Nothobranchius furzeri: one gene and its partner. The protein of the gene in region 2 purifies or fractionates together with the protein of the main gene of each other region. This does not show direct contact. Links are inferred from orthologs where the notes say so. Each region holds a gene or a part of one and is shown on either strand. Other genes may lie near its edges.

Region 1 (4,313 bases), on a different chromosome or scaffold from region 2:
ACATTTTCACTACAACAAGAACATTTTATAATACACAAAAACATGAGGACACATGAAAACACAAATAATACAGAAATTTTTTATTAATTATTTTGGTGTAGGAAACCACTTTTAGTAAGTTTACCGAAAACACATTATGTTTATGTAAGACACAGGGTTTCACAAAAAAACAGCTAATAACATATTGAATAAAAACAAACTATGTTAAAATTGAGAATACATAGTCTAAGATAGCGTAATTAAAACAAATGCTAATAAAGATCAACAAAATACACGGAAGCTCAGCTCTGAAGGTCCAACCTGAGAAGAAGATAAATGAGTGAAGCAGAAAAATATTTTTTGTCAGCTCAGACACTCAGCTGAATATTTGAACAAAGCTGATTTACAAATGTCACAGAAAAATTGTTAATTTTTAACATTTTGGCAAATAATATTGCTAGCTCAAAGACGCTAAAATTACCCCAATTATAGCCAAAAACCTTAGATGCACATAAATAATAAAATACATAAAAGTGATTTAGATTTTAACATAGGCAAGTTAAACAACATAAGCAAGTTATTGTGTCTCTTTTATTTGTGTTGCCATTAAAAATTAAGTATTGACATGATTTTCATATAAGAAAATATTTTTAAAACACTAATGCATTGACTAAATAGACTTTTTTTGGGTATATTGTTTCATCCTGATTTTTAAAAATAACATTTTGAAGTTTGTTGTGGTGTTTTGTTCACAGCACATTTCCCACCAAAGGATCACATTACAGGATCACTGTAAAAATGCAGCACGAAATCTGTCTAAGCTTAGAATGAACTTCAGCAGATAGATGTTTAAAACTATGAAAAAACTACCAAAAGTTAGAACATGTGTAAATTAATTTATTATTATTATTATTATTATTATTATTATTATTCAGGACTTCTCAATGGAGAGGGCAAGATCACAAAACCTGAAAAAAGTAAATAATTATTCAGGATTAAATGTTTTTACAAATATACTAAATTACGAAAAACATTTTTTTCTTTATAACGTTTTGTACAACTGTTAAACAAGATAGTTAATAATTAAGTATAAATACGGTATTTTGTTTTTATGTTAAAAGATGTTGATTTGGTAATTCAGCTCTTTTTTATGCCAGTAGGGGGCAACATTCAAACTTCTACAGCTTTTATGTCTAAAATACGTATCTCTTATTCGGTTATAAAAAATTGGAAAAAATAGAGCTATTTATGAAATCTTATTTTAATTTAACGTGCAGCTTTTACGCATTCATCCATTCTTACGTCCGTTTACCTCAAACTTCATCTTCGCTTTATTTTGCTTGTTTCTGTCTCAGCCAATCAGGAAGGAGATCCAGCCAAAGCAGGAAGTCGTCATCATTGCGTTCCCGCGAAGGTTTGCACACGACGAAATCTCAGGTAAGCCATCTATATTTACCACAACTATATTCGTGTACACGTTTTTATTGAGAAACAACATAATTTAATTTCAAACAGACCTGATTTAAACACCAAGTGTATGACGTAGAGCCAGCTGGCTCGTGCCGAGAGCACTGGACACGAGCTGAGACCAGTAGACATAATTGCTGCCAAACTAAATGGTGAAGTTAAAAGAAATGTATAAATTCCTCCTTTCTGACTGATATGAAGCAAATTCGAGCCAACTTGGAATGATCTTCTGTAAAAAAGTATTTGTTTATTAATTCGGCGCATATAATACTCACTGAAATCTTTATTATATTGTAATTTGTAGCAATTTACCATAAAATGATGGGCAATTAGAAGCTAAGCTGTCATGTGAGCATACGTATTTGAAAGTGCATCTATTTTATGAACAAACGCTTAAATTACAGGTTTCTGAGTTTACTAGAAAACTTAATAAACTGCATATAATTGGTTACACTGTTGCAGTGTTAATGTTTGACATTTACAATGTTTCACAGTTCATAATGAGCAAGAGGAAAGTGAAAGATGCCCATCTGCCTGTAGGAGAATGCATCACCCAGGTGTGGTTAACGAAAACACTCATTTATGACTTTTAAGTGCAAAAATACATAAATCTATCTTTTATTTGCAGGTTCATCAGATTTTGAGGCGGCGTTTCTGCCATCAGCAGCTCCCTGACAGACCACAGGGAGTGGAAGCTCAACACAAGTTGGTGCTTTTTTTTTTAAATAAGACACAAAAATCATTAAACAGATGAACTCTGCTGGGTTTCTAGTTATTTTGCTGCTGAGGATAATTTAAGAATAAATAATTTTATGTGCAAAATGTTTGAAAACATAGTTTTTAGTGATAAAGTGAAAACTCGGGGTTCAGATTACGTAAGATGACCCAGTTGAGTCAGGCCTGGATGACAGGTCTGTCCCAGTTTGCAGTAGGATAAAAGCTCCCAGCTGATTTCAACTCAAATCCACCTGCAACTCTGAAGATTTAACAGTTTTCACTTGTTAGTCGAAGCAGTTTTATGTTTTTATGTGCCTGCAGACACCTCGCGGAGCTGCTGAAACGAACGGCTGTCCACGGGGAGAGTAACTCTGTGCTAATAGTCGGTCCCAGAGGAGCTGGAAAAACCACGGTGAGTCTCTACAGGCTTAAACGTAACAAACACTTAAAATATGATTAATTAGCTTTAAATTCTGGAAGGGTTGCCACGTATTGACGGTAAGTTTTTGTAGCTGCTGAAGTGTGTGCTGAGGGAGCTGATGAAGGAAACAGAAGTGCACAAAAACCTCCTTCAGGTTCATCTCAACGGTAATCTAAAAAATGCTTCTGAATCCGACTTTTTGCTGGAACCAGATATTGAGATGTATTGTGCTTGCTGCAGGTCTGCTGCAGACAGACGACAGAATAGCCCTGAAAGAAATTACCCGACAACTCCACCTGGAGAATGTCGTTGGTGACAAAGTGTTTGTGAGTTTTCACACAGAGCTTTAGCTGTTCCTGCGAGAGAATCCACGCAAAAACGTTGTTTTGGTTTCATTTTCAGGGAAGTTTTGCAGAAAATTTAGCTTTTCTCCTGGACGCACTGAAAAAAGGTTAGTTTCTCAAACGGATTGTAAATGTGAATGTTTAGCTGTTATAAGCAGTGCCGAGTGCTGGTTTTGGTCTCCCGAAGGTGAGCGCAGCAGCAGCCGTCCGGTTCTGTTCGTTCTGGAGGAGTTTGACCTTTTCGCCCATCATAAGAACCAGACCCTGCTCTACAACCTGTTTGACGTCTCCCAGTCCGCCCAGGCGCCCATCGCTGTGGTCGGCCTCACGTGTCGACTGGTGAGTCTGAGAAAACCAGTTTACCATCTCCCACCATTCAGTCAGAGGATGTGAGCTTTGATTCGTTCTCTTTAGGATGTCCTTGAGCTGCTGGAGAAGCGGGTGAAGTCGCGGTTTTCCCACCGTCAGATCTACCTGCTGAGCAGCCTGACATTCACTCAGTACCTAGAGCGTGTCCAAACGCAGCTCAGCCTGCCGGGCGACTTCCCGGACAGGAAGTTTGCTCAGGAGTGGAATGCCAGCATAACGGTGAGCCCGTCCACACGTCGTCGTCTTCCTCCGCTTATCCGGGTCGCGGGGGCAGCATCCCAACTAGGGAGCTCCAGACCGTCCTCTCCCCGGCCACCTCCACCAGCTCCTCCGGCAGGACCCCAAGGCGTTCCCGGACCAGATTGGAGATGTAACCTCTCCAACGTGTCCTGGGTCAACCCGGGGGCCTCCTGCCGGCAGGACATGCCCGAAACACCTCCTCAGGGAGGCGTCCAGGAGGCATCCTGACCAGATGCCCAAACCACCTCAACTGACTCCTTTCGATCCGGAGGAGCAGCGGTTCTACTCCGAGTCCCTCCCGAATGTCCTAGCTCCTCACCCTATCTCTAAGGCTGAGCCCGGCCACCCTACGGAGGAAACTCATTTCGGCCGCTTGTATCCGCGATCTCGTTCTTTCGGTCATTACCCAAAGCTCATGACCATAGGTGAGGATTGGGACGTAGATCGACCGGTAAATCGAGAGCCTGGCTTTCTGGCTCAGCTCCCTCTTCACCACGACAGATCGGCTCAGCGTCCGCATCACTGCAGACGCCGAACCAATCCGCCTGTCGATCTCCCGATCCCTCCTACCCTCACTCGTGAACAAGACCCCGAGATACTTAAACTCCTCCACTTGAGGTAGGACCTCTCCCCCGACCCGGAGTTGGCAAGCCACCCTTTTCCGGTCGAAAACCGCACGCATGACAGAAAAAAATAGATTTAAAAAGTCGGTTCTTTCATTTTACGGCTCATTTTTCTCCAGACTCTCTGTGAAGACAAGTCTGTTGAGGATGTTT
Region 2 (4,424 bases):
AGTAAAGCGTTAGCTATCCGCTTTCATACACAGCTGTTGCTGTAAACCACGGAGGACTTGTTCTGATAAATCTGAGTGGATCAGAGGGGTTCATCAGTACCAGAGGAGCCTGACAGAGGCTGGAAAGCGCAGGCCCACAGCTGCGTGGAGAAGTCCCCGGAGCTGTCCTGTTTACTGTGACACTGGAGCACGTGGAGAGGCTTCAGATGCACCGGCTGCTGGAGGATCACACACAAGAGACGGATGAGAACGAACACAAACCCCTGTGGGTTGTTGTCTGACAAGATTGTGTCTTGTACGGAATAAACGACGACACTGGAATGTTTTTGTGGTTCTACAGCATCTAAAGGAGTCATCTGTGTGTTTCTTTACCTGACTCTTAGTACAAATCTTTATTATAGGCAGAGTGTACTGACTCCTGTGCAGCTGTTTGGTTTTGCTGACTTCTTTTTTCTGTTCAACCCGAACTTCTTCCTCTTCGAGTTGCTGTGATTTAGACCTCTTCCTGGGCGTCTCTGTCCTCGCCTGTCCTCTGGTGGGAGTGGAGACAGCCCCGTCTGTCCGGAGAGAGACCCTGCGGGACTTGCGAGGGCTGTCTTCAGCAGCTGAAGATTCTAGAGCGTTGACTCTCAACTTCTTGTGAGGCGTCAAAATTACTTTATCATCTGTCACCAGTTTGGTTCGTTTCCTCTTGGAAGGCGAGGAAATTATCTGAGAAAAGGAAGATAGAGTAAAATGTTTGACCCAGTTTGAACAGAAACAGCAAGAAGTTTTATTTAGAGACGCCATTTGTGCCAATGACAGTATTGTAACAGTGAAGTTTAAATAAAAGGTGCTGATTAGCAATCTTACACAGTTCTTTGTGGCCTCAGCAGACTCCTTGGGGATGAAGTCTTCTTTTGGTTGTGTCAGTGAGCGCAGATGCTCTTTAGCAAGAATCTCCACCTGAAAAATCAAAAGGAAGTAAAAACAAAACTGTTAAAAAGGGATGAAAATTAGCAAAAAAGTCCCAGAGATCCTTGTAAATTCAGGACTTGCCCTCCATTTGGTGAAATCGCTGACTGAACTGGGACCAAATTTGACTTGATGACGAGCAGCGTTCACAAAGTTCTTCTCCAGATCGGACATTTTGCCGGCCGTGATGGGATCTGGGAGACTGAAGCTCCGCTCCCAAACTGTGACTATCTGAAATCAAGCAGCAGCTGAGTGACCCAAGTGTGGGATATGATGAGAAAGTGCAGCAGCTGGGTCGTTTCCTTTTAAAATGCAACATTAGAGGTGTGATGCAATCGAGAGCCACAGCTTAACTCAAAGTCTAATGAATAATCATCATGAATGTTTTCAAACGAAAGTATTAAACGGTTTTCATACCCTGGTCCTCAGGTTGTCACTGAACACGTATCGTAAGTGGCTGGCAGTGGTGCTGACATCTTTGTTGTTGTAAATCCTCAGTTTGGGCAGCAACACCATCAGCTTGTAACTATCACTTATCTAAAAATAACAGAGTCAGGACTTGATCTCAGTTGTAAAAGAGAATTTTAAAGTTTGAGACAAAAATAAAGGAATATCTAACAAAAAGGAAAAGCTGCAGCGCTGCAGAGAACAAAAAGACGTGCTAATAAAACATCTAGACTTGTTGAAGTAGTTATCTGATGACAGCGTTAGAGGAAAACTTCCTTTTGGTTTGTTTTTTTCACCTCATGTGGATATTGTCGCGGTAAAATAGTCATGGGTGGAAAAACTGCATCACATGTAACAACCAGACTCCAAAAGATGCCACGGTAACGTTTTACGATTCTGTAAAGTTCTGAGATGAATTCAAAGACAGAAATTATACTTAAACCACTCATTTAAATAAGACCAATCGAATAGTTTGAATTTTAAAAAGGCAGCTCCGTCCTTTATGTTATAACAGAGACGGAACGGTACTGGATTACATGCGACAAAAACAGCCAAGTCCTCACTGTGATGTAAAAGTTGTCATCCATTTTTAGTTCCTCCAAGCTGCTCAGAGACTCTAAGGTGGTGACATCCTCCATCTGGTTGTTGGTGAGGTCCAGGTACCGAAGTGCAGGTAGCTTCAGGTTCTTTGGAAGCTCCTGCAGCCTGTTCCCGGATAGATCCCACCGCTCCAGGGACTGCAGGCGGGATAGCAGCTTCACAGGAAGATCCCCGTGCTTCAGCGCCATCTTAGACAGACTAAATAGAAGAAACCCGTCAAGTCAACATGGGGATTTTAGATCAAGCTTCATATCTGCAAGTAAAACTAATTTTACTATTAAATGCGATTAGTCATCAACTGATAAAAGAGTGACTTCACCAGAACACACAAATAGTTAATCAAGGGGGAAGACTTACTTCAGAGTTTTGATTTGCTCCAGTTTGTTGGTTTTTGGAGAACCTTTCTCCAGTAAAAGCTTCTCTGTTACATTCTCCATAGCTGATCTGCTGGAAAAGGACATCTAATGTGGAATCTATCAGCAAAATAACATGTTAAACTTTTATTCGCACTCACTGATTAAGTTGTATGGCCTGATAAGTTTAAATAATGTCTGTACTTAAAACGAGCTAAATATTTAGCATTTTTTCATTTAGTAAAGAGACGATGCCATTGCCAAGTGACATCTTTACTGAGAAAAATTTAATATAACCAAATCAACTTCATGCTTCAGCAAGGTAAAACTGAATCTGTTAGTTTGATTTCGATTGGTTTTACTTTAGCAGTAGCTAGCATAACCACGTTGACACGATCGATTAATCAACTCTTTGCTAGGTTAGTAGTTAGTAATATAACTGACTCTTTTTCTAGCCATAACAAATGAGCAAACACCTTTAATAATGTTTAATAAAGTATTTTTTATGTTACTTACCAACTCCTCTCTGCAACTTTTGTGTCTGCAACACAACTGACCTTTCCCGGGGAAACTCCGTCTACATCCGGTGGGCGTGGTTTACCTAAAACTTTGGCCACAGTTTACCCTGAACATTGGCTGTAAGACAAGTCAAACAAATACGACTTTCGATTATTATATTTCTTGTTTATCACATATATTACTAAGTATTGTCATATTTTGTTTTATTTGAAATTTTAATGCGCCAATAACAGTGCGGCAGAACGAAAATAGGGGTTAAAAGAAGTAATTTTACGCCTGCGGCTCCGTCCGCTAGATGGCAGTGGAGCTACGATTTCCAAGTAGAAGAAGATGCAACATGATGATGATGGTCTCTGACGACGGCGACGGGGTTATTCCATGCGCTTGTAAAGGCATCCGACGCTGTCTTGTCTGTGAAACGTTTAAGGCGAGTGTACTGCTTGAAACAAGAGAGTCAAAGGTACGTGTGTCGAACAAAAATCTCAGTTTTAATGTGCGATGTAACGTCTGTAAACCTTGGTACGGAAGCCCTCACTGGACAAATTGTGTTGTTTATCAAAAATCACTCTTGTTTGTTCTGACAATATTCTGGTACAATGTTGTAAATTTGATTTAAATAATGAGATACAACCCTGGTTTATTTAAATGTTGACGGCATGTATCTTTACTTATTGTGAAATGAAATTTTATAATTAAAACATGTCATCACAGCTTTTGTTTATTAATGTTATCTCTGTTTTTGGTATGAAGATTGTGCATCATTTCCTCTATAATGCCAAGACGGGGCTCGCTGTCAGCGAAGATGAAGAGGGCTCTTCCTTCCCTTTTTCTGGAGTCTTCCTGTGGGAGAACTTTATATCAGAGGAGGAGGAGAGGGAGCTGATTAGCGTAATGGACCAGGATGTGTGGCATCCCTCACAGTCTGGCCGAAGGAAACAGGTGGAAAACATTTAATGAAAATGTACTTTTTTGTGGGTTACATATTTTTAACATTCAAATTTTTCATTTTACACGGTTGCAGGACTTTGGCCCTAAAGTAAACTTCAAGAAGAGAAAAGTGCGCATCGCAGACTTTACTGGACTTCCTGCTTTAAGCCAAAAACTGGTGCTGCGGATGCAGCAAGATGCAAATCTTGCGGGCTTTCAACCAGTGGAGCAGTGCAATCTGGATTACGCTCCGGAGAGAGGCTCAGCCATTGATCCGCACCTGGATGACTCCTGGTTGTGGGGGGAGCGGCTGGTCACCATCAACATGTTATCAGAAACTGTGCTCACCATGTCTCTTGAGCAGGGTCTGCCAGAGTTGGGACTTTCAGAGGAAGTCCAGGTTGCTGTACGACTTCCTCGCAGGTGTTTAGTTGTGTTATACGGCGAGGCGAGGCATAGGTGGAAACATGCAATTCATAGGAAGGATATTCATGAACGCAGGGTCTGCAGCACATACAGAGAGCTGTCTGCAGAGTTCCTCCTTGGAGGGAAGCAGGCGAAGCTGGGAGCTGAACTGTTGACTACTGCTTTAAGCTTCGGAGGAACTCCAATATAAACAGAGGC

The links. Proteins that work in one complex are often made in the same cells at the same time.
Region 1: the proteins of lrwd1 (region 2) and orc4 purify together in Homo sapiens (affinity purification with mass spectrometry; 3 studies listed by BioGRID and IntAct, with this or other methods). This does not show direct contact. The link is inferred for Nothobranchius furzeri from reciprocal best matches to the Homo sapiens genes LRWD1 and ORC4.

The regions. Positions count from the first base shown.
Region 1 is NC_091743.1:85,852,236-85,856,548, reverse strand, and holds the start of orc4 (origin recognition complex subunit 4), read left to right. Parts: upstream 1-1,342; 5' UTR 1,343-1,416; intron 1,417-1,940; 5' UTR 1,941-1,946; coding exon 1,947-2,003; intron 2,004-2,074; coding exon 2,075-2,151; intron 2,152-2,484; coding exon 2,485-2,575; intron 2,576-2,675; coding exon 2,676-2,751; intron 2,752-2,824; coding exon 2,825-2,910; intron 2,911-2,986; coding exon 2,987-3,035; intron 3,036-3,115; coding exon 3,116-3,267; intron 3,268-3,342; coding exon 3,343-3,516; intron 3,517-4,279; coding exon 4,280-4,313. UniProt on the Homo sapiens protein: Component of the origin recognition complex (ORC) that binds origins of replication. DNA-binding is ATP-dependent. The specific DNA sequences that define origins of replication have not been identified yet.
Region 2 is NC_091750.1:30,550,456-30,554,879, forward strand, and holds the start of lrwd1 (leucine-rich repeat and WD repeat-containing protein 1), read right to left. Parts: upstream 2,943-4,424; 5' UTR 2,871-2,942; intron 2,475-2,870; 5' UTR 2,463-2,474; coding exon 2,359-2,462; intron 2,200-2,358; coding exon 1,965-2,199; intron 1,492-1,964; coding exon 1,372-1,491; intron 1,186-1,371; coding exon 1,039-1,185; intron 946-1,038; coding exon 853-945; intron 712-852; coding exon 373-711; intron 219-372; coding exon 101-218; intron 1-100. Other genes in the region: alkbh4 (alpha-ketoglutarate-dependent dioxygenase alkB homolog 4), read left to right, coding at 3,169-3,333, 3,624-3,812, 3,895-4,416. UniProt on the Homo sapiens protein: Required for G1/S transition. Recruits and stabilizes the origin recognition complex (ORC) onto chromatin during G1 to establish pre-replication complex (preRC) and to heterochromatic sites in post-replicated cells.